7 linked regions of the Cricetulus griseus genome follow. The protein of the gene in region 3 interacts with the protein of the main gene of each other region in a biochemical or structural test. Links are inferred from orthologs where the notes say so. Each region holds a gene or a part of one and is shown on either strand. Other genes may lie near its edges.

Region 1 (4,261 bases), on a different chromosome or scaffold from region 3:
ATCCTTTCTGGAAATTTTCAGAAACAAAACATAAAAAAATTATATACTTTATTACAAATGGTAAACTCAGAATGCTTCAAATCTCTTATTTACAAACAACACTGGGCAGGACACCCAAACAAACAAACATGGAATAACTTACAAAGGCAGGAAGCTGTTTATTGACAGTAATCAGCTTTCATCAAATTAAAAAAAATATATATGTACATACACAGTTGAGGAAGGCAGGCCAGGGGAGTTCATCTGCAGTCTAGCCTGGCACTCACGAGCCTCCCTCCCCTCCCTAGCCCTCCCTGCTTTGTGTTCTTAAGGAGCACTACAGAAGCAATCTACAGTCTCTATTGCAGTTTGTAACCCCTCCCCGCCCCCCTTTAATACTGAATGAGATCGAATGTTAGGTCCATGCAGTTCTTGGTCAATGTTAACGAAAAGTCCATCGTTCTGGTCTCGCGGGCACAGCCCGATCGCAAAGCCTAGCAGCCAACAGGCCGCCGCTCTCTGGCTCCATGCCAAGGCAAGGCGCGCCACGTCCTTCCCACTCCAGCACACTGGGGGCGCCGTCAGGACGCAACCCAGTCCATCTCGTGTACCCTTGGCTTCGGTACTCGGGCACTTTTTTTTTTCTTTCGCAACCAGTCAAGTTCTCAAGTCTGTCTTTGTTATATTTTTTTTCTTCCATTGCCCCTCAGCCCTGACACTCTGTCCTCAAAACGTTTGCAACTGCTGCGTTAGCATGAGTTGGCACCCACTGTTAACGTGGTTCATGACTTTCTGTTTAAGCTGTGCCACCTGTTCCCTGAGCATGTTGGCCGTGGACGCCAGCTCCGAGTTTTGCGCTTTCAAGGTTTTCACTTTTTCCTCTAGCCGGGCGATCCTCTCCAGCTTCCTTTTCCGGCACTTGGAGGCGGCGATGCGGTTCCTCATGCGCTTCCTCTCCGCCTTGATCCGCTCCTGAGACTCCATGTCGATGGGGGACAGGGGCGGGGTCTCTCCCGGCATCTCGGGCACGGTCTGGGGCTCTTCCTTCAGGGCCTGCAGCCGCGGGTGCTGCACCGGGATCTGTTGGGGCAAGTGGTGCGGCGGCTGAGGCGGCTGCTGCTGCTGCTGGGGCTGCGACGGAAAGGCCAGCCCGGCCGCGCCGTAGGAGGGCGCCCCGCCGCCGCTGCTCAGCGCACCCGGGTTGAAGTTGCTGAGGTTGGCGTAGACCGGAGGCTCGCTGTGTAGGCTGGCGCTGTAGCCGCCGCCGCCGCTGGCGCCGGCTACCGAAGCCACCGCGGGAGCCACCATGCCCGCACCGCTGACCGGCTGTGCCGCCGACGTGACGCTGGGCAGCGTGTTCTGGCTATGCAGTTCGGCCAGGGCGCGCACGAAGCCCTCGGCGAAACCCTCCTGCTCGTCGGTCACGTTCTTGGGGCACAAGAACTGGGTGGGGGTCGGCGTGGTGGTGATGTGCCCATTGCTGGACTGGATGATCAGGCGCTCCAGCTCGGGCGACGCCAGCTTGAGCAACCCAACGTCGGGCGACGTGAGGAGGTCCGAGTTCTTGGCGCGGAGATGCGGCTTCAGGTTGCCCACCGGGTCGGCCAGGTTCAAGGTCATGCTCTGTTTCAGGATCTTGGGGTTACTGTAGCCGTAGGCGCCGCTCTCGGACTGGAGGAACGAGGCGTTGAGGGCATCGTCGTAGAAGGTCGTTTCCATCTTTGCAGTCATAGAACGGTCGGTCAGTTCACGCGGGGTTCGTCTGGGCTGCGCGCTGAAGTTTCGGGGCCGCAACAGCGCGCTGGGAAGCGGGGGACACCCGCGCGTCCCTGCGTCTGTGACAAGTAAAGTTTGTCTAAGAGCGCGCGCTCCGGTCGGCAGTGCTCCCCCCCTGCGCCCTCCTCCCCAGCTCGCTCCAGGGAGCGCAGGGTTAAGGTACCGCCTTCACTCACGTTGGTCGGCTCCCGCGCGCTGCCGGGCTTTGAAAAGTCGCGGTCACTCGCGGAGCGCTCTCGGGTAGTAGCAGTTCCTCGGAGACCGCAGACCAGCTCCAGCGACAGCAGCTCTCCGGCGGCGCTGACCAGTCGTCACGGAACTGTCGGTGGAAGCCCGCGATCGGGCTCCGCCGCCCGGACTCCGACAACTGTCCCCTCCTCCGCTGTGAGGGGGAGGGGGACGCTCGGCGGCCGCGGCTAGCGCTCGCCCAACTTCAGCCGCCTGTGCGAGCGGGGCTGAGTGTGGGTTCTTCCTCTTCTCCCCTTTCTTTACGGTCTCGGGGGCAGCCTAAGGCGCTGAAAAGGTTTGCAAAAGTTCGCTCCGGGCCACTTGTTCCCGGTCTTCTGGGTCAGGAAAGTTGGTGGTCGGCGTAGCCGCTCGCCTATTTCCTCGCTCGGGCAGGCACCGCTCTCGATGCTGTCAGCAGCGCAGGGACTTGCGAGCTGCTTCTCCGGGGAAGGCGGGAGAAGGGACTCTCCAAGTGCTCCCCAAAACACCGGTGCTGGAGCCGCGGGCGCTGGGTCCAGGTAGTCGGTGAGAAAATGAAGACAAACAGATGAGCAGCCCGGAGTCCGCGGCCGTCCAGATTGGCCGAGAACGTCCGTCCTTCCTTCCGTCCGTCCCGCTCTCTCTCTCTGCCTCTCTGTCTGAGCGCGTTCCTGCCAGGACGTCTCTGCCACACTCAGTGCAACTCTGAGTCCTTCTTATCCAGCCTGAGCTCAACACTTATCTGCTACCAGTCAACCCCTAAAAATAGCCCATGATGTCACCCCAAGGCCTTCCCATTGGCCTGCGTCGCTCTCAGGGGGGCGGGCCCGCCTGTCGCCATGGAGACCTCACCCCAGAAGATTCTTCTCTGGGCCCGCGAAGGCTCACGGGATGAGGTAATGCTCCGCTGCGCTCCTACAGTTGGGCCCTTCTTTCTCCTCCTCCCTCCCCCTCCCGCGCGGCGCTCAGGCTTGTGTTCCCGGGTTCCCTCCCCGGCGCGTCTTTCCCGGCCCGCCCGGTGCATTGTGGGCTGACGTCTTGGTTTGGCTGTCTAGTGACGGAGGCTGCCGGGTCGGCTGGACCCTTGCGGCGTCTGTCGGAGGCGGGCTCAAGTTCAGGGTTGGGGACGGGGATCGAGACACCGGCATCCAGAAAGCTGGGGAGGCTCGCTAGTGGCCCCGGGCGGAAGGCCTGGGTGGGGAGTGGAGGTGGCGCGCGCGCACGCACGCACACACAAGCACACACACACACGCACACACACGCACACACGTGAAGGGGCTGAGCGACCTGAGCTCCAGCAGGCTCTGCACCCCCACACTTCCGGGAGGCAGCGGCGCGGGTGAAGATGGTTGTGTGCGCCCCGGGTGCGGGAGCGAGAAAGTGTGTTGAAGTTGAACGGGCTTGAGTGTCCCTCCCACGTTGAGCACGCGTGGAAGTTTATCTCTTGGTTAAGTTCCAGAGGAGGATCTGTGCCGCTGTGTGCTCTACCTGGAAGCTAGAGATTTGCGGTACTAAGAACCGACTCGTCAGGGTCCTCGGCACAACACTTCACCCTCTGGAGACATGCGGGGAGGGGCTCGCTTTGCCTCAGAGGGACGCGCTTTCTAGACGTGAAATAAAGGGGCGACCCCAGCATCCATGGGGGTCAAAATCAACATTTAAGGGTTCAAAACTCAGGAAACCCCAGCGATCGCCTTTGCCCGGGCGCGTCTCGCGCATACGCAACCCGCGCCCGCCCTACCCCCCACCCCCCAGCTCCTGATTTGCTTCTGGGAAAACAAGTCTTGAGAGCCGCCGCCGACTCGCCCGAAAGTCACGCTGCCTAAGCGGGAGTCCCTGGTAGAAGCAGGCTAAAGTCTCCCCTCCCCGCCCGCTGGTGGATTCATATCCTGTGTGGCCTCTAGGAAGCGCTAGACACATGTAAGTGGTTTTTGTCCTAGGGTTCTGCTATCCGACCTCCATTCTCCACCACTTAGGACTAAAGAGGTGGCAAGCTCGGTTCTCTCATGGCCTAACTGCAATCTCGGAACTTCTCTGAGCTTTATTGGCCTCATCTGCAAGTAGAGCGGATGAGGTCCACCGTACCGGGCTGCCAGGCGTTAGTATTACCTTCCTTGATGCCGGTACTAGAAGCTGGTCAACTCACTGTCCCCTTCCCTGCCGGCCTCGGCATTCCCCCTGGGCCTTCCCGCCGTACCAGGCTACAGGGCTGTGATTTGGCAGGAACTGGTGAGCAAGGTAGCAAAGGGCTGTTAGCCAGCTCTTCCCCAAGCCTCCTTACAGCCCAGGACTTGAGGTT
Region 2 (3,975 bases), on a different chromosome or scaffold from region 3:
TAAAGGTAACTGCTCAAGTGCTCCTTTCTCCTGCAGCTTTGCTTAGCATAACTCATCCTAAATAAAAATGAACATTAAGAAGAACCACGTATCTGGCTTTCAACTCTCACCGGTAATCCTAAAAGAGGATTGTTCCCCCAGCATTGTTTTTAAGGACCCAAGTTAATATAAATGAAATTTCAAAATGGCCCTAATTATTTTTTTTAGTCATTTATTTTTTTTTATTCTTATGCATTGTGTTTTTGCCTGCATGGATGTTTGTATGAGGGTGTTGGATACCCTGGAACTGGAGTTACAGATAGTTGGGAGCTGTTGTGTGGGTGCTGGGAATTGAACCTGGGTCCTCTGGATGAACAGACAGTGCTCTTAACCACTGAGCCATCTCCCCAGCCACTGCCTTAGTTATTTTTAAGATAGAAAGACTGATGTGGTCGTGTATTTATCAATCCACATTTGGTTTCTGTAACGTCTCAGAGATGTTCCATATATCTAAAAAGTCAAGTTGGTCTTGCTTAACATTCATTCCAGAGGAAAGGCTTGTCCACTTTCTCTGTGTCTAACGTTTAAAAATAAGCTTATCTGTCTCGTTCAATATCAACTTCATCTTCAATATCAACTTCATCAACTTTTATCTTTCCAAGACACCACTGAAAAGAGTAATGGATGGCTTTCCCCCTGAGATGAAGAGTCATTGAGCAGTTAAAACCATTATCCTACAACAACACAACCATTTGCTCAAATCTGTAACTCAGTTCAAATCCTTCTGGACTACCAAACAATGATTTTAAGATGAATTATAATTTTTAATTCTGTTTTTCAAAGTTGCTGTCTGGAAATAACAAGAAATGTTGTTGGCAAAGAAAACTTTCACATGGAGGAGAAAGCAGTACATCTGCCATTTTTGTACATGAAATGTTATGCTACATGCTACACAGAAAAAAGAAGAAAACTTTAAAATCAAAGTTCGTTTGTATCATGTATCCTGTGGCCAGACAAGCATTCCTTTTGATTACTAATGAAGAACAGAAGATCAGAAAGTACAGTTTACTTATTCATCCTAATGAAAACCAGCTACAACCCCAATCATTTCTGGGGGAAAGTTCAAGAGAGGGAGTAGAATTAATGCACTGTCAGTAACTAAAAGCTTACATCAGGCCCTTCAGGGTCAGCGATTTAACATTTAAATTAACTTTCTGTTTACCAAGTTACACATTCCCTTTTCCTAAAAATCCAAGTACAACACAATGGCAACATAAGCATTTACTTCTTTAAAAGTGCCAGAAGTATGACCAAAAACTGATTTTCACTTACATAACAATCTTCAAAACTTATCAACAAGGGGTTATGAAACGAAAGCGTCCCATCCTCTCTGTTCATAAAAGTTCACAATGTGCTAAGAAATCGAGGAGGCAAAAAATCTCAAACACTAAGGAAAAATGTACTAAAGACACAAGGGAGGGATAATAGCTAAACGCAAAAACTTCATCGTCAATATAAAAAGCAACAAATTCTAATCTACAACTCTTACCCTTGACGGCAAGGAACAGAATATCCTGCTTTACACATTCTGGGACTGCAATTCTGCAATGCTAAATCCAAAGACAAAGCCGCCCAGGGGAAAATAACAATTGCGCAACAGATCAACAGCTCCAACTTGTCCCTTGGCCCCAGAGCAGCGAGGTTTGCACGCTATAAAGCAGGAAAGGGCCAACCGAGGGCCTCCGTGACTGCCAACCGGCCGCTGTCACCCACCCGGAGGCCACAGCCACGCACACATACACAGTGTGGGGGCCCCGCGAGTCACGACGCTCAGAACACACAGCCCCGCGTGCGGCTGCCTAGGGCCTCTGAGCCCGCCCAGGTCCTCAAGTCCTCGCCTGATGTGAGGCCAATGCCGGATTCCCGGGCTGAGGAAGCGCGAGGAGCCCTGCCCGTCGGGGCACCTGAGCACGAGGGTCACCCGGTGACTTTCTCTTCCGCCCCCAGAGGGCTGGGCTTTTCTAGATCAAGCCGGACTGGCATGATCCTACAGACGACGAGCTCTCGGGCTGAGAAAACCACAGACGGCCAAGGGGGCTTGGCAGCCGCGCTGGAGGTCGCGGCCAGGGGAGGGAAGCAGTCTCCGGGGCGGTCGCCGAGGAGACCTCAGCTCCCCCGAGCACGGCCCCGTGACTAGGCACATTTTTACCGGCACCGAATCTGGGAAACTACGCAAGCCCGGAAAGGGCCGGGCTGCGCCGGCGAAGACAGCCAGCGTCCGCCCCCTCCCGCCGCCTCTGAGCATCCGACCCAGCGAGGTGGTGTTGATGCCCTCTGGCCCCACCAAGCCCGAGCTTCCTCCACACCCCAACCCCAGTGCCCCCGGGGACCTCAGGCTCGGTCCCTACTCTCATCGCTGCCCCAACACCCCCGTTGCCTTCCCGGCCCGGCGGGGGGCAGCTCCCAGGTCGGGCTGTCGCAGTCTGGGTTCAGACTGTCCCTCCCTCCCGGGACCACTGTCCCCTCGAGCTCCCGTCTGCTTCCTGGCACAGCCGATAAGCCCAAGGGCCGGGGCAGCACCTGCTGGGACTGTAGTCCTGGCGGCGGCAACTCCAAGTCCATCATGCTGAGGACGAACGCTGCACTGAGGATCCCCGACGGCGACGCTACGTTGGCTGCCGAGGTGCGGCGGCGGCAGTGACTCGACGGAGCTGCCGGGATCCAGCAGACAGCCGGCTCGCTTGAGTGTCCGGCCAGTCTCAGTCCGCTCCGCCCCCCGCCCCCTGGGGGCGGAACAAGGACCTGGGGAAGCGACAGGAACTTAAGGGCGGAGTGAGGGCTGGAGCGAGAGGCAAGGGCTAGAGTCCCCGGCGAGGGCCCGGGGGCGGGGCAAGGGACTGGGGGCGGGGCAAGAGCCTGGAGTCGTGCAAGGGTCCTGGGCAGGGAAAGGGTCCGAAGACATGGCGAAGGGCGGAGCGAGAGTAAAGGTACTTAGAGGGGCCGGAGGGGCGGGGCAAGGGCCAGAGGGCTTGCCCTAGGGCGGGGCAAGGGTAAAGGGACAAGGCTGGGACCAGAGGGGCGGGTCAAGGGCCTGAGGGCTTCCGGCAAGAGTTGCTGTATTCCCCTCGGCCTCCGCTGATGACCATCCTCTAGCGGTGGTCCGGGCGTGGCCGTGGTCCCACGGGGGCGGAGTGCGGGCGAGAGGCCCTGGGCTGCCCGAGTCCTCGCTGGGACAGCTCTCCCTGGCTAGAGATTAGCAGCTGTTTGCTGAAGGTCGCTGGGGCTCTGGCGCTTTGAAGCAGTTTAAACAGTTGGAGCAAACACACCGGGAGCCCATCCCGGGCGCTGCTATCGGAGCTGCGCCTCCCTGATTCGGATCCGCAGAACCTTGCCCGCTTTATCTCGCCCCACCGGCTGACTGTGGCGCCAGCCGGGGGTGGGGGCTCTGGGCAGGGACTGTGCAGACAGCCAACTGCTCTCTGTCCCCCTGTCCTGCTCATGCTGGTGCGGGACAGCTCTGCCCCAGGGAGATGCGTCCACATTGCAAACTTAAGTGAACGCCCTCTATTTCTCCCACGTGCCCGCATCTAGCGGCCAGAGCTGAAGGAGTGTGTGGGTCGTTCACCCAGAACACACAGGAAGCAGCCACACAACAAATAGCATCCTTCACAGGTGTGGATCCTCATGATACAGTTCCCCCTCTTTTTTACGATTTTATTTTGGAACTTTGAGATAGGGTCTCATGAAACCTGGGTGGTTTTGAGCTCCTTATCCTCCTGCCTCCACCTCCCAAAGGCTGGTATATAGCAGTGGTTCTCAACCTTCCTAATGCTACTACCATTTAGTACAGTTTCTCTTGTGACCCTAAACCATAAAATTACTTTTGCTGCTACTTTATAACTGTAATTTTGCTGTTATGTATCACAATGTAAATATTTGATATCTGAAATGTGACCTCTGTGAAAGTTGATCCATCCCCAAAGGGGTCACGACCCA
Region 3 (3,500 bases):
TCCAAACAAGTTCTTGGCAAGTTTATTCAGTGTCTGTTTCAGTGTTCAATAACACTGTTACAACTTCAAATCACTTACCTGTCCCTCTCAAACTGCAATGCCTTACTTTACCATCTGGATAATGTCCCCACTTTATTTCACAACTTGGAGCAATACCCTGATATTCAAGTCTCAGTATGTCAAGATCTAAAGAGCGTACAAATACCCCCTAGCCCTGAAGCCTTATCTACTCCAAATGACCACAGAATCTTGAATTGAGCGATTAATGGTTTAGACAGCTATCACTACTCCAGCCAGGCATGGAGCTATGCACACAGCCTCCTGTGGTTGATAATTACTCAGCAACTTCAATCCTGATGGCCTGAAGCAGCACTGTACCTTCTGAGTCCCCAAGTACTTGAAACCAACTGGGTTACAGACTCTCAGGCTGAATATTCAGAAAGGCCTTTTCCTTCCTAAAATATGGCTCTTTTTATAATCTCCTAATAATGTCTCCCCTGTTTGTTTTTGTTTTCTGGGGGGGGGGGTGTTGCTAGTCCAAAATCCTATTTCTGACCTCTTTGGAAAAAGCTCCTCTAATTTCCAAATTTTAAAAAACAGGCTAACATTATTTAGTGGAATTATTTAGTGGACTATGTTCTTATCAGAAAAGAATGGAAAGTGCAAAAAAAAAAAAAAAAAAAAAAAAAAAAAAAAAAAAAAAAAAAACAAAAGGGAAAATGGGGGATAATTTGCTAACATTGAAAGTTAAAGTAAAACACGGCTGACAATAAATACCTTGAGAAACCTGCATTCGATTCACTGGCAGAGGCAGTGGCCCATCTACAAGGGAGAAAAAATTAATTAATTGAAAGGGGGGTGGGAGTTATAAACAAGTTAAAAAAACCCAATAACTTAGCAGCAAAGCCTTTAAGAGGCCTTCCTATACCAAGCAGTGGTAGCACACACCTTTTAATACCAGCACTTGAGAGGCAGAGGTAGGTAGATCTCTAAATTCAAAGCCAGCCTGGTCTACAGAGTGAGTTCTAGGACAGTCAGTGCTCTATAGAGCAAACCTGTCTCAAACAACCAAAAATGAAGAAAACAAAAAGAAATCTTCCTATGAGGGAGGCTCAATGTCCTCACAGGACACTGCCATACAGAAAGCTTCCAAAGCACAGACTTTTGGAGAACACAATTGTACATTCTTAGACATATACCCCAAAGACAGAAGGAAAACTAAGCAGGCAGGCTAAGAGCTGGTAAAAAGAAATACAGTCCTTACTTGGAGGTCTCACAGACTGAGTTGGTGGAATCACAGGGGGCTGAGCCCCAGGAGCTGGCAAAGCTGGCTGGTTACCCAAGATGCCTTGCTTATGTAAACGTGACCTCCGTTTTTCTTCTAGTTCTTTTTGTATTTTATAGATTTTCTCTGCTAATAAATGGTAGTACTCATCCTAAAAAAGCAATAATATTCAATATTAAGGAACTGAAAAATCTAAGAACCAGTCATTTATTTTTATGTTCTAACTAGCAATGAATGAACTCTTTTTATTCATTCATTTATTCACACATTCACATTTTGCTGCTGGGGATCAAACTCAGGGCCTAAGAAGGCACTATACCGCTAAGCACATTTTAAGTACATTAACAAAGGTTCGACACATTTAATAAACCAAAGAATCACCACCCCAAATTCCTAGTGATGTCAGCATACCCTTTAATTTCCACTTTACTGAACTAGTGACTTTACTAGATACGACCAGTCGAAGGTGCTAAATACAGTTGTTTATTTTTTCTGCACAAATGAGCTTTTTCTTGGGTATTCACTGATACTGGCAATAATATAATAGAAGAATCCTAAAGAATACCCACGGTGAAAAGAGATGACCCAAGGGTACATACACTTTATCTAATGCATCCTCTGTCCTCCTATGATATTTGTGCTTCATTCACAAAAGGGCTGTACAGGAATCTCATCCTTACTGGGACATGTCTGTTCAAAGTCTCAAGGTAAGGAGTCTCCTATATCACACAGATTCTCCTAATTATGGGTAAAGAACTAGACAAATATCATTTCCCACCTATAGGCTCAACAATTGCTTGACAACCTACCCTGCTGTTAGCAGACTCATACATGTCCCCCTCTACTTTCTTAGCATAGGCGACCAGGTTCTCCATTCGGCGATCCTTCAGAGCTGCAGGATCAGGAGTTGGGAAGATGGCTTGGACACTGAAAGGACAATATACTAGATCAACCTACTTTCAAAGTGGTCACAGCAGAACTCTCTTTGCCTTGTGCATGAACAATGGAAACAATACCAACCTTTAACCTACATAATAATCACAAATGTGTTATATCATTTTATGAAAAGTATGATTCCAAATCTCTATTTTGAAACTGTTCATTGTAAACAGATCAAAATAAGGAAGAATCTATAGTTGATTCACTTCAACTTAGGAGAGGTAGTTTGAAACATTACTTTCTGTATGTAAAATAACTATGTGGTCATACCATACATATTCACCAGAGCCAAATTTCCCCCAAGTTTTAGGGAACTCTATAACTAGTCCTAAGTAACTGAACACACGTGAACTCAAAAGCAAAGAGGATAGGTAGGCTTCCGGTCACGTCTCTAACTGTCTGATGCCAACATACAATAGGGCCCAGAGTCTGGGAAACTCAGCCTTCCTAGGACTCTCTACAGTGGGGATTGGTTTCTGAAACAAGCATGGACCCTTTGCAGCTAAGAGCTATAAACTGGGATTCAACATGCAAAGGAAAAAACAAAACCAAACATCTATGCACCCATAAAGATTCAACAATGCCTCAGCCACAAAATGTGAATCTGACTGATGAGGGTAACGTACAGTTTATGCACTAGATGGCTCCTCAGGTCCTGAGTCACATGTTCATGCCAGCTTTTTCGAACACCGGTGCTGGAAGGAGGTGCTGCAGTAGGTATCGTGCTGAGGCTTCCAATGTTACCAGAGTTCGAGCCATCATTCATTAGTGGACTAGAGAGGGAAATAAGAACACTTCATCCAGCTACTCAAGTGAATCAATCAAATACACTCAACCTTCTTCAACAATATGTGACTTAAAATGTTTAAGAGAAACAAGTAATGTATATCAACCAGAATTCAATCTGTTTAGTTGGTTCTGTTTTACATTTATCATTTAAAAAGAAAGAGAGGCTAGACAGACAGCTCTGCTGTTAAGAGTACTTGTTTCTCCTTCAGAGGATCAGATATCCACATCAATGGCTCGCAACAGCTGGTCACTCTAGTTCCATGGAATCCAACACCCCCTTGTGGGACTCTTTCTCCCCTCCCTCCCGCTCTTTCCTGTCTCTTTAAAAATATGAGAAAAGAAAAAATAGCATGCATTCCCATTCATTCTCTGCCACATGTGGAGTTTTGTATAATTCCCACCCATTCTTATACCCACTTGTTCTTCAGAAACGATCTATTTGAATCTTTAGTCTTACTTGGTGGCCCCCAAGGATGTTGGAAGAGCT
Region 4 (3,990 bases), on a different chromosome or scaffold from region 3:
AGTTTGAGGCCAGCCTGGTCTGCAGAGCAAGTTCCAGGACAATCAGGGCTACACATAGAAACTCTGTCTTAGAAAACAAAATAAATAACCCCTAAAATGTTAGCATACTTTTTCTTCAAGTCAAAATTTCTAAAAGTAGCACTATTTCACACTCTTGCATATTGCTTTACTGTGTAGCTCAATTAAAAAGACTTGTTTTGGGCCAGGTGGTGGTGGCACTTGGGAGGCAGAAGCAGGCAAAGTGAATTCCAGGACAGGCTCCAAAGCTACAAAGAAATCTTGTCTTGAAAACAAAACAAAACAAAACAAAAGTTTGTCAGGTATTGTGATGCACATCTTTCACTCCAGCACTCAGAGGACAGAAGCAAGCAGACCTCTGTGAGTTCCAGGCCAGCCTGAACTACAGAATGAGTTCCAGGGCAGCCAAGGTTACATAGTAAGACCCTATCTCAAAAACAAAAGAAAATCCCAGCACTTGGGAGGCAGAGGCCAGCCTGGTCTACAGAGCAGAGTTCCAGAACAACCTCCAAAGCAATACAGAGAAACCCTGGGGGGGGGGGGGGGGAACAACACGGGACAAAAAAAAAAATAAACAAATCACACATGGACTAGCCAGGTATGGCATAACTCTAATCCTCCCTACTCTGCAACGATAAGTGAGGGAGGAGTATTTATTCCGAGTTCAAAGACACCTTGTGCTACAGAATGAAGTTCAAGAACAACCTAGGCAACATAGTGAGACTAAGTATAAGAGATTCGGATCTAGCTCAGTGGTATAGTGCTTGTCTGGCATGTACACATGTGAGCCCTAAGTTCAGTGCCCAGTAACAAGTACTACACCCTAGTGTGGCTTCACAGATCCCCTGAAAACAGCCTGTGTCCTAGGTTCTCTTTTCCTTTCTCCATAATCTTTTTTTTTTTTTAATAGTTTTTCAAGACAGGGTTTCTCTGTGTAGCTTTAGAGCCTTTCTCCATATTCTTAAATGATGTGAGTTCAAACTAGAGCAAAAATAATTTTAAAATTTCTAACTGTATGTTGCCCTTCATCAGGCTGACATGCCTTCTAGTTCCTTCTAAAATAAAAGACTGATGAAACTAAGCATTTACAGCTCATCTTTCCTCCCTTACTCGGAACTATCTGGAGAGATATTCATAAACGAATTTCTATCCAGATTAAACAGAATTAATCCAGATTATTTATAAACAAATCTACCCCACAATTAATCTACATTATGGATAGGCTACAAAAATAGAACCATATTATCCAGGTGGTGGGGAAGCATGCCTTTGATCCCAGCACTCAGGAAGCAAAGGCTGGGAATCTCTGAGTTTGAGGCCAGCCTGGTCTACAGAGCAGTTCCAGGTTAGCCAAGGCTACACAGAGAATCCTGTATCGAAAAACAATTAAATAAATAAATAAATAAATAAATAAGATTAAATTAAAAGAAAACAGTTCAACTACACTGTGGTGCTGAATGAAAAGTTTACTGAATAATTATCATTATAGACAAACGTCAAAAAAAATTTGAAAATTCAGTCCTCTAAGCAAACAAAAGGAAAAACAGATAAAAATCCTATGTATTAAAACTAGCCACAAACGTGGTAAACAAAAATGGGATGAAGGAAATTAAGGTGGCAGTATTCCTAATTTGAATGCCAATACCATGCAAATTCTTAACATTAATACGGAGACACAGCATTTTACTATTAATTGGCAGCTTTCTGTAAACATTCTGCAGCTGTAAATATTCAGTTTTTCTATTTTCCTCAAAAATATCACCTGGAAGAGGGTGATATGGAGGTGCATATAACCAAGATACGTCGTTTACGTGTATAAAATTGACTATGTTAAAAAAAAGTGCCATTTTTGAAAATGTAACAATCATAAGCAGGCTAATGCCCAGATGAAATAAATGGCTTGTTGGTGGTGGTACTCTAACCTAGTTTCGTTTGTTTCTCGGTTATTCTGAACTCTCCTACAACTAGAGAGTTGATGGACCAATCCCGAGTAAGAAATGGAAAGTACAGAAAAAGAGCCGACCGATCCGCACCCCCCAGATGGAAAAAAAAAAAAAAAAAAAAGACGCAGAAGGGAGCAGAGGCGGACAGGCCCTCCCGGCAAACACAACGGAAAGCAGCGTCTTCTGGGTCCCAGGAACCTCAGGCCAGGCTTCCTCTCCGCCCCCCACTCCGAGACCAAGAACCCAAAGTGGAGTGGAGCAGCTTTTCGGGGCTACCTACCCTCCCAGTCAGGGATTCCCTCCCGTTACATAACTAGGCCTGGGGCCCTGTTTCTGCCATCGGTCCTCTGAAGGGAAACGGTCGATTTCTCTTAGGTTGCTCTCGGGGACAGAGGAGCGGGCCTGGGCCCCCGGCGGACCCGCGAGAAACCTGGGAGCCGTCGAGAGAGCCGCGGCGCGGGGCAGCGGGAGGGGGGCGCGGGGAAGGCGGCGGAGGGCGGGTGTTCCCCGGAGCCCCGCGGTCCCGGGCGGCTGGGCCCGACTCGGCCGGGCGCTCCGCGTCCCTCGCGGCCCCCTCCCCAGCAGCAGCCCCCTCCCCCAGCTGCGTCCCCTCCCCCGCGCCGCGGTCCCCGGGCCCAGCCAGCGGCCGACAGCTCTGAGCCCCGATGCCCTGGCCCAGTACCTGGTCAGACATGGTGATGGTGGCTTCGCCCGGGGGTCTCCGCACCACAGCGGCCTCCGGCAGGCAGAACCTCACTCTGAGGTTTACAAATCTGTCTCTTCCCCACAGCACAACACCGCGGCTGCAGGGACTTCCGCTACGTATTGCGTCACTTCCGCTGCGCGCAAAGGAGACTTTGGGAAGACGGGAAAAGGAGGCGGGAAAACGCCTTGGGGAAAGGCCTTGGGGCGTCTGACCTGTAAAATTGCTTGCCCGGAGCAAGAGAACGACTGTGTGTTCTGCCGCTGGGAGACCCGGCCGGCTGCCTCAGCCCCCTAGGGAGACCAGGGCATCGCCACCAGGCTGAATGTTTGGGGTCAAACCGACATCCTAGACTCCTCCCTCTCGGACACCTTGCGCGCTTCTCCGAGCTAAACCAAGTTCTTTTGTCTGCTCCCAACCTTACTAACCGTCCCTAAATATAGGGAATCGCCGGTATAATATTTTTATTACCTTCTCTTGTTTGCTGCCAGCACACTCATGACCTTGATTTAGGACCACAACGAAAAGACGACCCCTTAGAACACATATTTTTTGTTTTTATTTTTGTTTTTTGAGCAACCCTGGCCGCTCTAGAACTATGTAGATCAGCCTGGCCTCGAACTCACATAGAGTCTCCTACCTCTGCCCCCAGCTCTAGGACAGTTTTAAGAGCTGTAGATGACTAAAATGTTGAAAGTTTTTAAGTTTGAAGTTATAGGCAGAAGGAGCTACCTCCAACCTATTAACTATTTGCCTTTCGTCACAGAAAGACCTAAAATTCTTTGACTACCACGACCTTCTTGCACAGGCATTAAGTGTGGATTACGGATATATAAGTAAAAAGAGTAAAATTGAAAAAATAATTGTTGTGTGTGTTTTTCCGATACAGAGTTTCTCTGTGTAGCTTTGGAGCCTGTCCTGGAACTCTGTAGACTATTCTAGACTCTGCTGCGTTAGAGGCATGTGCCACCACGCCCCCCAACCCCCGGCAAAAATGAAAATTCTAAATAAATCAATAACCTTTCACAGTATAAGACGTTAGTAAAAGAATCTTTTCGGACTGGAGAGATGGCTCAGAGGTTAAGAGCACTGACTGCTCTTCCAGAAGTCCTGAGTTCAATTCCCAGCAACCACATGGTGGCTCACCATCCCTTATGAGATCTGGTGCCCTCTTCTGGTGTGCAGATATACATGGAAGCAGAATGTTGTATACATAATAAATAAAATCTATTAAAAAAAAAAGAATCTTTTCTTAGGGGCTGGAGAGATGGCTCAGGGTTTAAGAGCACTGACTGTTCTTCCAGAGGTTCTGAGTTCAATTCCCAG
Region 5 (4,127 bases), on a different chromosome or scaffold from region 3:
AGCATCCATCAAGCAAAAGGCTTCTGGGCAAAAACACAGGCGCCTGTTTGCTGCCCTTCTCTGTGATCCGGGAGATGGAGAAGAGATACACCCCAGCACCTAAGAAAGCCCTAAGGAATCCACAGCCAGCCTATGAGCAGACAGACACCAACCCTCCTCCACAGCGCTGGTCCCCTTACCTGTGTGAGTTCGAAGGTGTGCCTTGAGATGAGAACTCTTAGTATAGGTTTTGCCACAGCCTGCATAGTCACAAGTGTGGGTGGCAGTTCTTTTCCGGGGCCACGACCTTCTTCCCCTCTTTGGTTTGGGCTCCTCTGGCAGGCAGGAACCCGGTGGCATGAGCTCTAGGTAAAGAAAGTGGGGGGTCAACTTTCATTCAGGAGTCTCCGAGAACTTCCCCCCATCCCATAGGCAAAACTCCCCAGCAGCAGCTCTACCAATCCCTTCCCCCACTGACCTTGGTAATGGAGAGATGAGACTTGAGACGGCATCTGGTCTGGCAGGAAAGGAGGGTAGTTGGGCCCCGGATGGGGATGGAATCCTGGCGGAAGAGGCAGGCCAGGGTGACAGTCCCTGCTGTTCAGCAGTTCCTCGGGACTCATGGTAGGGGTAGTCCTGGTGGGGAGCTGCCGCCCCAGGGGGAAGTCGTGTGTGCTGGGCCGGTGCCCGTTGCTGAGCTGAGGTCCAGCGCCCAAATGGGTCTCTAGGGACCGGCCGACTGTGCAGGAGGAGACCGATTCTTGCTTAATCTTGGGGCACATGCGCGGCGGGCCACCGCTGTAGGGCGCCACCACCACAGGGTGGCTGCCGTCCGGGCTGCCTTTGCTAACACTGATGACCGACGGGCTGCTGTACTCGCTGCCAGGCGTGCTCAGCGAAGCCTTCAGCACAAACTTGCCCATCAGTCCGCCACCTGGCGGCTGAGGCTGCTGTGGCGGAATGTACACTGGGTCCAACTCCGGCCGCAGGAGCTCGGCCACGAAGCCGCCCGAGGGGCTCACGTCATTGATGTCCGCCAGGTTGAAGGGGGCCGTGGGAGGTGGCGCAGACTCTCGGGGGTAGAGGAGCCCTCCACCTGTGTTGCCGGCAGCCACGCCCGGGTCACCTCCAGCCCGGATCGGATAGTTGAAGCTGCAGGTGGAGGGCGCGCTGGCAGGGCCGCTGCTCGCCGGGGAGGACGAGGATGAAGCTGAGGCCGAGGAGGTCACAGTGGCGGCCACTGATTCCTGGTGGGATAGCGAGTTGGAGAGGATAAAGTCTAGGTCCAGGAGATCGTTGAACTCCTCGGTCTCCCTCCGGGGTAGGAGGGCCGGGTTGTTACTGCTGCAAGCTGCGCCAGCTCCACCACTCTCCAGGTCTGTGGCCACGGTGGCCGCCAGGTCGTATGGGCGGCCGGGAAGTGGAGGAAGTCGCTTCATGTGAGAGAGCTCCTCTCGCCAGCGCTGCCAAGGACAGAGAGGGAGAGAGAAGTGGTTAGTTGTAGCCCCTTGCTGCCACTCCTAGTATCGACTTGGATGAAGCACACCAGACTCCTGCCATAGGAACTGGACAGGGCAGGAAGGCAGCTCCAGGGACTCCAGGTGCCAGCGCTTCAATCTCAGCCAGCACCCGGGTAAGAGGCGGCCCGTCGGTTCCACCTCAAACTAGTGCGGCACCTCCGCCAGCCCAATTTTCTTCCCAGCCAGATCCTCGAGACGCTCCAGCCGCCCACGGAATTGGGACACTAGGACATTGTGGCTTTCTCCCATGCACCGTAGCCACCCGGTCTCCTACGCGCTAAGCTCACTCGTGCCCAGAGGGTCTCGAGACTTGGCCACCAGTGGTCCTCGTGCACCCACCCCACGGCCCGGACGCCGGGAGACCAGCGAGGAACCGCTGTGCGCCCCTGGCGGTACCGTAGTGCCGGGACCACACGCACTTAAGGCCGACTCAAGGGCCGAGGAGCCACCCTGGGAAGGCTGTAGAGTCTCAACGGAGGGCAATTCTTGTCCTAGCCAGGGGCTCCTGGTTGACCCCTGGATTCTGCCCATCCACCCCATAACATCCCCAGAAATCTACCGGGCACTAGCGCGACACTCACGTTATTTGGGGCACCTGCTGGACGCAGTGTCTTCTCCCTTCCCGCCGGGCCGGACGCGAACGTGGAGAAGGACGGGAGCAGAGCGTCGCTGACAGCCATGTCAGACTCGCCAGGTGGCTGCCTGCGGGCCGGGCGGGGCGCACAGGGACCAGGAGTCAGGGGCTACCCTGGCCACTGCTCCGAGGTTTCCCACCAATTCTCACCCTTTAATGTTCCCCTAGCCCAGCATCTTACCTACCTCATTAATGTGGGGGCCCAGAAGGTCCTCCGGAGTCCGAAGAAGAGAGAGGGGTACCCGAACCCCAAAGTCAACGAATATTAAAAACAACTTTAGAAACGAAACCCCAAACCAAAAACCCCAAATTCCCCGAGATCCTTCTTCTTTGGATTCAATATAAACCGGAGATGTCTTTTTAAAAAAGTTCCTTTGTATACAAAAATGCTTAGAAAAGTTGTAAACTCTTAAAAAAATAGACAATCAGCAAGGCAAATAAGTAGGTCCGATGGCCAGGCTGCACGCTCTTGGACTCAGCAGTGTCCCCCACCGTTGTCGCGGCCACTGTGGCTGTCGGCGGCTCAGGGGCTGTGGTCCGGGCGGTGGGCGGGCGGCGCCGCCAGGTGAGAATGGCCGCGGTGGCGCGGAACTGCGAGCTGGGCGGTGGCGCGGGGTGCGGAGTCCTGGGGGCTGCGCCGGGTGCACGCGGCCATGGGCGCGGGTCACGGGCGGGTGCTGGGTGGGGGGCCAGAGGGGCGGGGAGGGGCACTCGGCGGCTCCCGGTGCCGCCGCCGCCCGCCACCGCCTCTGCTCCCGCGCGCCCGGAGCCGCGCTCGCTCTCTCGGCCGGGGAACTGCCGGCGGCCGCCGCGCGCTTCTTACTTATAACTTCTCGCTCGCTCGCTCCCCCGCCTCCTCCCCGTGGCGCGCGGGGCTCCGCCGCCAGGCCCCGCCCCTTGCCTTTCTTCTCCCCGCCTTCCCGCAGCCCCCCTGCGCGTTGCCATGACAGCTAAATAAACAAACTCCGCGCACGTGGGGGCGGGGGCGAGGGAGGGGCACGGGCGGGGCGGGGCTGGGCCGTGACGCCAGCCGGGCAGCTGGCGGGCTGGAGCCGTGCTGACGCCGGCGGCGGTGGCGGCGACGGCGGCTTCGGCGCTAGGATCCCGGCGTTGCTTCAGTGGCACGGCGATTTAGGGTCCTCTGTGCGGCCACGGTCGAAAGCCCGGTCACGGGAACCCTTGCCAGGACAGGGTTGGTGGGGAGAGGGGCGGCGGCGAGCCCCTACTCCTGCTCGCGGTTGCTCCTGTCGACTCTGCTCACCCAAGAGCGCGATTATCCGCGTGACTCATCCAGCCCGCCCTCCCTCGCATACGCACGCAGAGGCCGGGCTGTGCCCGTGGGGCCTCTTGCAGGGTTGGGGATAGGGGCCGGGTGACGGGGGGCTAGGAGTCTCAGGAGCTCCGAGTAGGGTCTGCTATGGAGTAAAAAGGCCAGGATGGGCACGTAGTTACAGTTTTGATAATGGAAAGAGCAAGGAAGGGAGTTAAAGGATTCCAGATTTACTTGCGGGGAGTGGGAGCGCAAGGAGGAATCCAGGCGCAGAGATACCTTTCACCAGGAATCTCAAAGCTCTTTACAGGCTACGCACTCGCACTCTCAGTTTGAAGATGAGAAAAATGAGTCATAAAGAGGTGAAGCGGCGAGGTAAAGGTCACAGGACAACTCGCTCCCTTCAGTTTAGGTTTCGAGCTGGCCAGTCCACTCAGAGGGACTTTGCTGGGAGGTGACCGTGTGCTGGGAAATGGAGCACTGCGGTGGGACCCTAGTTCTCTAAAAGTGGCACCCAGGCCCTTGGCCCACCGGGAGGGGAAATGGCAATCGGTCTTTATTTCGGTCTTGTAACTCCTTTTCCCATCCCCACTACCTTCCTAGTGCGTGATCAGTAATTTTCCAGCCGGAATATGTTTTCGCCCTCATCTCTACAAACAGTACTTAAAAAAAAAAAGTAAAAAAAAAAAAAAAAACCCAAACCAAAACGTGAGTGTGGTGTTAA
Region 6 (4,088 bases), on a different chromosome or scaffold from region 3:
ACCCACCACCCAATCTTATCTTTTTGTCTTCTACATAAGGAAGGGGAATCTAACCAAAATAGGCACAATTTCCAATGAACTACTTTAGGGAAAACCCTGCTAAAGGATAGCTGAAAATCCCTTAAACATTTTTTCATGGTTTTTAAAATTATTTTTTTAGTATGTTTATGTACATATGAGTTTTCTTTGAACCACATATGTGCAGATGCCCTTGGAAGTCAGAGGGTCACCTAATGTAGATGCTGGGATCTGAAGATGGTCTTGATTGTTAAGCCTAGCTTTTTAAAAGATCACAACTATTCAAGCAGGCATTTAAGGTCAAGATGTTCTCCATAAACCCAGCTAATGATCAAATGCTAATGACCTATAATTAAAAATATTCTACAAATACTAAGATGTTATCAACCTGGAGATAAAAGGATGGATCCAGGATTCAAATTCCAATTGTACCTGCATTTTTTATTTGTTTGTTTTTTTTTTTTGAGACAGAGTTTCTCTGTGTAGCTTTGGAGCCTGTCCTGGCACTCCCTTTGTAGACCAGGCTGGCCTGAACTCACAGAACACATGCCTCTGCCTCGCCTCCTGGGATTAGAGGTGTATGCCGCCACCACCACCTGGTCTACACTTTTCTTAAAATTAAAATTTGTATTTTTAAATTTAATTTATTTCACAAATATGGGTATTTCCCTCAAATTTGTGTCTAAGGAACATCTGATCCTCTAGAACTGGAGTTACTGACAGTTGTGAGCTTGCAGGTGGGTACTGGGACTAGAACCCAGAGCTGCAACTGCTCTTCACTGCTGAGTCATCTCCCCAGCCCCTAAAATTTGAATTTTAAAGAGAACTTTGCACAGCAGCTGTAAACTTCAAAGGTTAAGTAACTCCACAGCAGCAATAGCACCAGAATCTAAATAATCCATCTTATCAAACAGAGGTGGTTGTGGGGAGTCCAAATGACATATCCTCAATTTTTGTGCCTATTTAAAATAAGCTAGTTTTTAAAATAAATGAAACTATAACTGGCAATCTTCAGTATAATAAGAGAGTTACTGGCATGCAGGTACAAGAGCAGCAATATGTGCAAGACAGATGTGAAGGGGAAGTACTTTTTTAAGTACTCCTTTATAAGTCTTTAATTGTGACCTAATTTAATTTGTTTTGACTCCCAAGACCAGTTCACCTTTATCTTCATAGTTGTACACTGTGAGTCTTTTTAAAAAGAACGTTAATTATTCTATCTAGTTAAGACAGTTGGTGGAAAACACGTCTTTCCTACCATTTCTAAAATTATGACCATTCAAATTTGAATGCATTTCTGAAATAGACTTGCTCATCAGGAAAATATGCTAAAGTTCCAAGATTATTACTAACATTAAAGAAAGGCATGTGTAATGACTGAAGAGCTGCAGCATTTGAAACAGGATCTGTCTATAATCAGAGCCTGGTTCTAGTCCTTCGCCCTTGGGAAAGGACTTCCTTTCTATACCTTATCTGAAAGAGGGTATCTTTTTCCTCAAGATGGCTATCCAGACAAAATTAAACTATTCGGATAGCAGAGTATCTCAGAGACCTTCAATAAATTAGTTTTCTTCATTTAGCACAAAAGACACAAATTTAGGGGTAAGAAAACCTACTCCCACAAGTTTTCAGTACAAAACACAAATACTTGTTCCAGTAAAAACAACACACTTCATCATTCCACAATCAGGTGAGAAATCCTACAAGTGACCATGCAAAATTAGGTCTGAAAATACTCGATGGTAACGAAGGAGTTAAAGTCAAATTAGGCCCAATTCCAAATACATCTTAATAACTCTTTAAGAGTGATGCTAGCTTATCCTTCCTGCAACGCAACGATATTTACATCCATTTTGAAACTTCAAGATTTAAATATCCTCACAACCAACGCTGGTGTCATTAATGCTTTTTAGAAAGCCTAAGTTGGAACGCATCATTAGCTCCACTGAAGATATTTTGTGAAAGCTGTTCACGTATACACAAGGAAGGGAAGAAAAATATTTTGGTGTTCAGCACACAAGCCGAGGATTCTCGCTTGCAAAACCACGGCCGCCTCCACCACCACCGACAAGCCTGTGATGGAATTCCTGGTTTTACGATCTAATGTCAAAGAAGGCGGCTATAATGCCATAAATTAGGGGACACGGTGCACTTCCGTTCCCGTCCCAAGGGAGAAGACTCCAAAGTACGAGCTTGAGACCAAGTCCTCGGGTCCTGACCTCAGTGTGGGGTGCCCCTCCAACGGCAAACGAGGGGCAGCCCAGGAAGCACCCCAGCAACAACTAAGCCTCGACGGGCTCCGTGATTGTGGACCAAAGAGGAGTCAGGGGTCCAGGTCGCTGCAGAACGCGAGGCCAAGGCGCGGGAAGGGCCGCGGCTGCGTCCAGAACAGCCAGGGGCACAGGCAGGGGTGACCGGGTGAGGCCGAGCTTGCAAACCGGAGTAGACACTCACCAAACCATGCCGTAGGCGCCCTCTCCGATGTACGAGAGGTTGGTGTAGCGCGGCCCCACGTCGAACACCTGCCCGCGGACCATCTCCGGGCCCGCCGCCGCCGCCGCCGCCATGTTGGCTGCCTAGTCGCCGCCGCCGCGCTGGGCTCGACGCTTCGCGGCCGCCGCTCGGCTTGTGCAGCGCCTCCCGCAGGGACCGCGCTGCCACCCGTGTAGCCGCCGCCGCCCGCGACCGGGAACGCGGAACGAAGACAACACAGAGCAAAGAACTGACCGCCAGTGAACCACTGCCTGCCTTCCTGCCTGACGGGCGGGCAGCGAGCGGGAGGAGGGAGGGGCTGGCGTCGAGGGGCGCTGGGGCGGAGTCAAGGGCGTGAGCGCTGATTGGCTCCTCGCGGCGCTGGGCGGGGTCTCGAGGGCCGGCGGAAGCAGCGAACTGAGGCAGGAGCACTGCGGCTGCGGGGGAGGGCCGTCACGTGCGTTTGGAGAACCGGGCGTTCAGTTTGTTTGGTGGCTCTTGAAAGCCTGGTGGAAACCTGGGCGTAACGACCCCACAGTGTGTCCGACCGCTGTGCGGTGCCCAGGACGAACTCATGTGGAACCAGGCACTTGGCGTGAGACCGGAGGACTCAGCATACACCAAGCAATGGACCCCTGAGACAGGCCTCTGGGAATCCGTGGCCCTCACACTAATGAACTTAGACTGCCAAACTGGGACAGAAACCAAAAAGCATGACCCAGACTCAGAAAGATATTTTCACACCTAAAAAGTGTGAGACATAAGTGGAAACCAAAACACAAGGCATTGAATCCCCTAATTAGAGGTTTGTTCAAGAAGATTTGCTGAATACTTCTCCCTTCTAGGGTGAAGAGACAGACAAATACGATGCTCACTTAACTAAGTGCTGTGAACAATTAAAAACTGGAGGGAAGGTTTACAGAGTTGTGGGTGAGGACGCTGGAGAAAGACTGAAATCCAGGGACTGGACCCAGGTGTTGTGTAACCGTTTCCTGCGAGATTGAAACATTCTATCCTGCAGAGAAACTCCTTAAACAGGAAAGTAAACGGCACAAAGGAACTTTGGGAGTCCTTGAAACTGACCAGATTCACCGGGTTACTCCTTGCTGGAGTAAGCAATAAAAGTTGAGAATCCCTGTTCGATGAACTCCACGGAGCTGCAAAGAAGACTCAGCCAAACTGCTTAGAAGAAGCAGAAATCAGCCTCCTGCCTCCTGCCTGGAAGAGGTCTAGACCAACTTAAATAGCTGGAGGACACTCTTCAACTTTGCTGGTATCCATACTCATCTGTAGTGACTAGGTGTGTATTGTGTCTTCTCAAGAAGTGTTTTGTCACACAACACCAGCTTGGTACAGATGAGCAGAAACCCAGATGGGCGTACTGAAATATAGCACAGTTAGAATGGCTGAAACATCTGAACAAGTTGTGGGTCAGAACCAGTCAGAAACACGAATGAACCCGAAGAAAATTGTAATCTTAAAGTAGGTGGGTGCCAAGGAGAGCAATGGTAAGATAGTGAATGACACAGTTTGTCTCTCAGGCATTACTACCCTGTCGTCCCTGGACGCAGACTCCTCTGTGGCCAGCAAATGAGATC
Region 7 (2,201 bases), about 30 Mb from region 3:
TCCATGATCATCGAGGCAGGAAGCATGGTGCCTGGCAGGCAGGCAAGCAGGGGGCTGCCACAGTCGATGAGAGCTTGCTTTCTTACATATAGATTAGCAGGCAGGAGACAGAGCAAGCAGGAATGCCTAGTATGGACTTTGGAAACTTCAAAGCCCAACCCCATCACACTTTCTTTAAAGATCACACCTCCTAATCCTTTCTCAAACAGCTATAACAACTAGGGAGGAAGCATACAAATGTGTGAGCCTATTAGGGCTGTTCTCATTGAAACCATCACAAGGGTCTTTAAGGGAAGGGGGAAGCTGGTCCAAAGTTGGGGCAGGGGTACAAAATAAAACAAAGACTGCATCTGTTGAGATTGATCAGTGAGAGCCAGAAGTTCAGCTAATTGCTGGTGTTGCAAAGTTGGGAACCTGTAGTGCTTATGTCTAGCCTTTGTCATGGGCCAGCAAGGACACAGTGGGGGCATTTTTTTTTTAATTTAAAAATATTTATTTTATTTTTAAAATATTTTTAAAATTTAAAGCTACAATATTTTTAATTTTGAAATATTGTTAATTTAAAACACTTTTAAATTAAAATCTTTAAATAATTTCTAACTTACATTTTTTTTATTTTAATTGTGTGTGTGTGTGTGTGTGTGTGTGTGTGTGTGTGTGTGTGTGTAGGTGTTTGGCTTGCATGTATACTGTGTGTACTACTTGCATGCCTGGTGCCAGCAGAAGATGTCAGATCCCCTGAGATGAATTAAGGTGGAAGCAAGCCATAGTGTGGGTGCTGGGTTCTGAACCGTGGTCCTCTGGAAGACCAGACAGTTCATTTTACTGAACCACCTCCAGCCCTTGTCCCAGAAGTCCTTAAACCGAGACTATTTTTCTAATATCACAGAACTCAGGAAAATTATGCCCTGTTGCCATATAAAGGAAACACCCAGAGATGCTAGAAGGTTCTTTGTGACTTGACAGTTGAAGCAGGGTTGAAAAAAAAAAAATTCTGAGAATGACTCGAGTTTTTCTACAATCCATGCTGCGGGCCTACCGAGATTAGTCTCTACTAATAGCTCTGGTGTCACTGCCACCCGGAGAGCATATAAGGGGCAGGATGTAAAGAGGAACGCCCAATGGACCAATCAGAGTGGAGTACTCAAACACGCCACCAGGTGCGCAACCAATAGGAATGCAGTGGGCTCTATAAAAGCCGAGCCCACAGGGCACCTTGCACACTCGAGGAGAAGCAGAGAAGAAAAGAACTTCGGGACGATGGCACGCACCAAGCAAACAGCACGCAAGTCGACAGGAGGCAAGGCTCCACGGAAGCAGCTGGCCACGAAGGTGGCCCGCAAGAGTGCACCGGCTACTGGCGGTGTGAAGAAGCCGCATCGCTACCACCCAGGAACCGTGGCGCTTCGTGAGATCCGCCGCTACCAGAAGTCCACCGAGCTGCTGATTCGCAAGCTGCCGTTCCAGCGCCTAGTGCGTGAGATCGCCCAGGATTTCAAGACTGACCTGCGCTTCCAGAGTTCGGCCGTGATGGCGCTGCAGGAGGCCTGCGAGTCCTACCTCGTGGGGCTATTCGAAGACACCAACCTGTGTGCCATCCACGCCAAGCGGGTGACCATCATGCCGAAAGACATCCAGCTGGCTCGTCGCATTCGCGGAGAGCGGGCCTAGACGCCATAGGCTCCTCATCTTTGCACTACTTTGAACCCAAAGGCTCTTTTCAGAGCCACCCACCCAGTCTGAGAAAGTGGTTGTAGCCTTGTAGATTTGATCCCCTGTCCACTTCGTGCGGAGTTGACTTTGAAGTCCAGCGAGCTAGTCCGGCTTTACAGCGGACCCATACCCGTTTAAGCTGTTTGATCAGCAGGTCCCTCCTGCGTTAAGTAGGTCTTCGCCTGAACCTTTGTAACAAGGTTGTAGTGCTGACTGCCCTGCCAGGTAGAGTCCAGCTTCCACAGGCCACAAATACACTACCACAACTATGGTGTGCCGATGACAAGTCTGCATTAACTCCAGTTTACTCCCATTGAAAGTCCCGAAAACCTTGCACTTTGGTTTAAAAGGTTGGCTACTCTTGTGTGTAAAAGTTAGCCCTCTCTCCTACAATGGAAAGCACACTGAGCTGAAGGCACCCACATATGCATACACAGGCGTACTAGCAAGTGTGCACCTGCAAACAATAATAAAATTTAAAATTAAAA

Evidence for each region.
Region 1: the proteins of histone lysine acetyltransferase CREBBP (region 3) and transcription factor AP-1 form a complex in vitro, tested with the Homo sapiens proteins (4 studies listed by BioGRID, with this or other methods). The link is inferred for Cricetulus griseus from reciprocal best matches to the Homo sapiens genes CREBBP and JUN.
Region 2: the proteins of histone lysine acetyltransferase CREBBP (region 3) and Nfe2l2 form a complex in vitro, tested with the Homo sapiens proteins (2 studies listed by BioGRID, with this or other methods). The link is inferred for Cricetulus griseus from reciprocal best matches to the Homo sapiens genes CREBBP and NFE2L2.
Region 4: the proteins of histone lysine acetyltransferase CREBBP (region 3) and Sumo1 form a complex in vitro, tested with the Homo sapiens proteins (2 studies listed by BioGRID, with this or other methods). The link is inferred for Cricetulus griseus from reciprocal best matches to the Homo sapiens genes CREBBP and SUMO1.
Region 5: the proteins of histone lysine acetyltransferase CREBBP (region 3) and Klf4 form a complex in vitro, tested with the Homo sapiens proteins (2 studies listed by BioGRID, with this or other methods). The link is inferred for Cricetulus griseus from reciprocal best matches to the Homo sapiens genes CREBBP and KLF4.
Region 6: of the proteins of histone lysine acetyltransferase CREBBP (region 3) and Mapk1, one has a biochemical effect on the other in vitro, tested with the Homo sapiens proteins (2 studies listed by BioGRID). The link is inferred for Cricetulus griseus from reciprocal best matches to the Homo sapiens genes CREBBP and MAPK1.
Region 7: of the proteins of histone lysine acetyltransferase CREBBP (region 3) and histone H3.1, one has a biochemical effect on the other in vitro, tested with the Homo sapiens proteins (2 studies listed by BioGRID). The link is inferred for Cricetulus griseus from reciprocal best matches to the Homo sapiens genes CREBBP and H3-4.

What each region holds. Positions count from the first base shown.
Region 1 is NC_048595.1:53,810,955-53,815,215, reverse strand, and holds the start of transcription factor AP-1, read right to left. Parts: upstream 2,801-4,261; 5' UTR 1,932-2,800; intron 1,815-1,931; 5' UTR 1,711-1,814; coding exon 706-1,710; 3' UTR 1-705. UniProt on the Homo sapiens protein: Transcription factor that recognizes and binds to the AP-1 consensus motif 5'-TGA[GC]TCA-3'.
Region 2 is NC_048599.1:99,368,283-99,372,257, reverse strand, and holds the start of Nfe2l2 (nuclear factor erythroid 2-related factor 2), read right to left. Parts: upstream 2,801-3,975; 5' UTR 2,605-2,800; coding exon 2,560-2,604; intron 1,680-2,559; exon of another isoform or gene 1,529-1,679; intron 1-1,528.
Region 3 is NC_048600.1:42,539,473-42,542,972, reverse strand, and holds part of histone lysine acetyltransferase CREBBP, read right to left. Parts: coding exon 3,471-3,500; intron 2,998-3,470; coding exon 2,851-2,997; intron 2,213-2,850; coding exon 2,095-2,212; intron 1,437-2,094; coding exon 1,265-1,436; intron 823-1,264; coding exon 778-822; intron 1-777. UniProt on the Homo sapiens protein: Acetylates histones, giving a specific tag for transcriptional activation. Mediates acetylation of histone H3 at 'Lys-18' and 'Lys-27' (H3K18ac and H3K27ac, respectively).
Region 4 is NC_048595.1:413,930,895-413,934,884, forward strand, and holds the start of Sumo1 (small ubiquitin-related modifier 1), read right to left. Parts: upstream 2,801-3,990; 5' UTR 2,656-2,800; coding exon 2,644-2,655; intron 1-2,643. UniProt on the Homo sapiens protein: Ubiquitin-like protein that can be covalently attached to proteins as a monomer or a lysine-linked polymer.
Region 5 is NC_048595.1:88,331,035-88,335,161, reverse strand, and holds the start of Klf4 (Krueppel-like factor 4), read right to left. Parts: upstream 2,801-4,127; 5' UTR 2,324-2,800; coding exon 2,319-2,323; intron 2,202-2,318; coding exon 2,081-2,201; intron 1,443-2,080; coding exon 458-1,442; intron 345-457; coding exon 180-344; intron 1-179. UniProt on the Homo sapiens protein: Transcription factor; can act both as activator and as repressor. Binds the 5'-CACCC-3' core sequence. Binds to the promoter region of its own gene and can activate its own transcription.
Region 6 is NC_048597.1:72,356,860-72,360,947, forward strand, and holds the start of Mapk1 (mitogen-activated protein kinase 1), read right to left. Parts: upstream 2,801-4,088; 5' UTR 2,586-2,800; coding exon 2,473-2,585; intron 1-2,472. UniProt on the Homo sapiens protein: Serine/threonine kinase which acts as an essential component of the MAP kinase signal transduction pathway. MAPK1/ERK2 and MAPK3/ERK1 are the 2 MAPKs which play an important role in the MAPK/ERK cascade.
Region 7 is NC_048600.1:73,028,993-73,031,193, forward strand, and holds histone H3.1, read left to right. Parts: upstream 1-1,260; coding exon 1,261-1,671; 3' UTR 1,672-1,701; downstream 1,702-2,201. UniProt on the Homo sapiens protein: Core component of nucleosome. Nucleosomes wrap and compact DNA into chromatin, limiting DNA accessibility to the cellular machineries which require DNA as a template.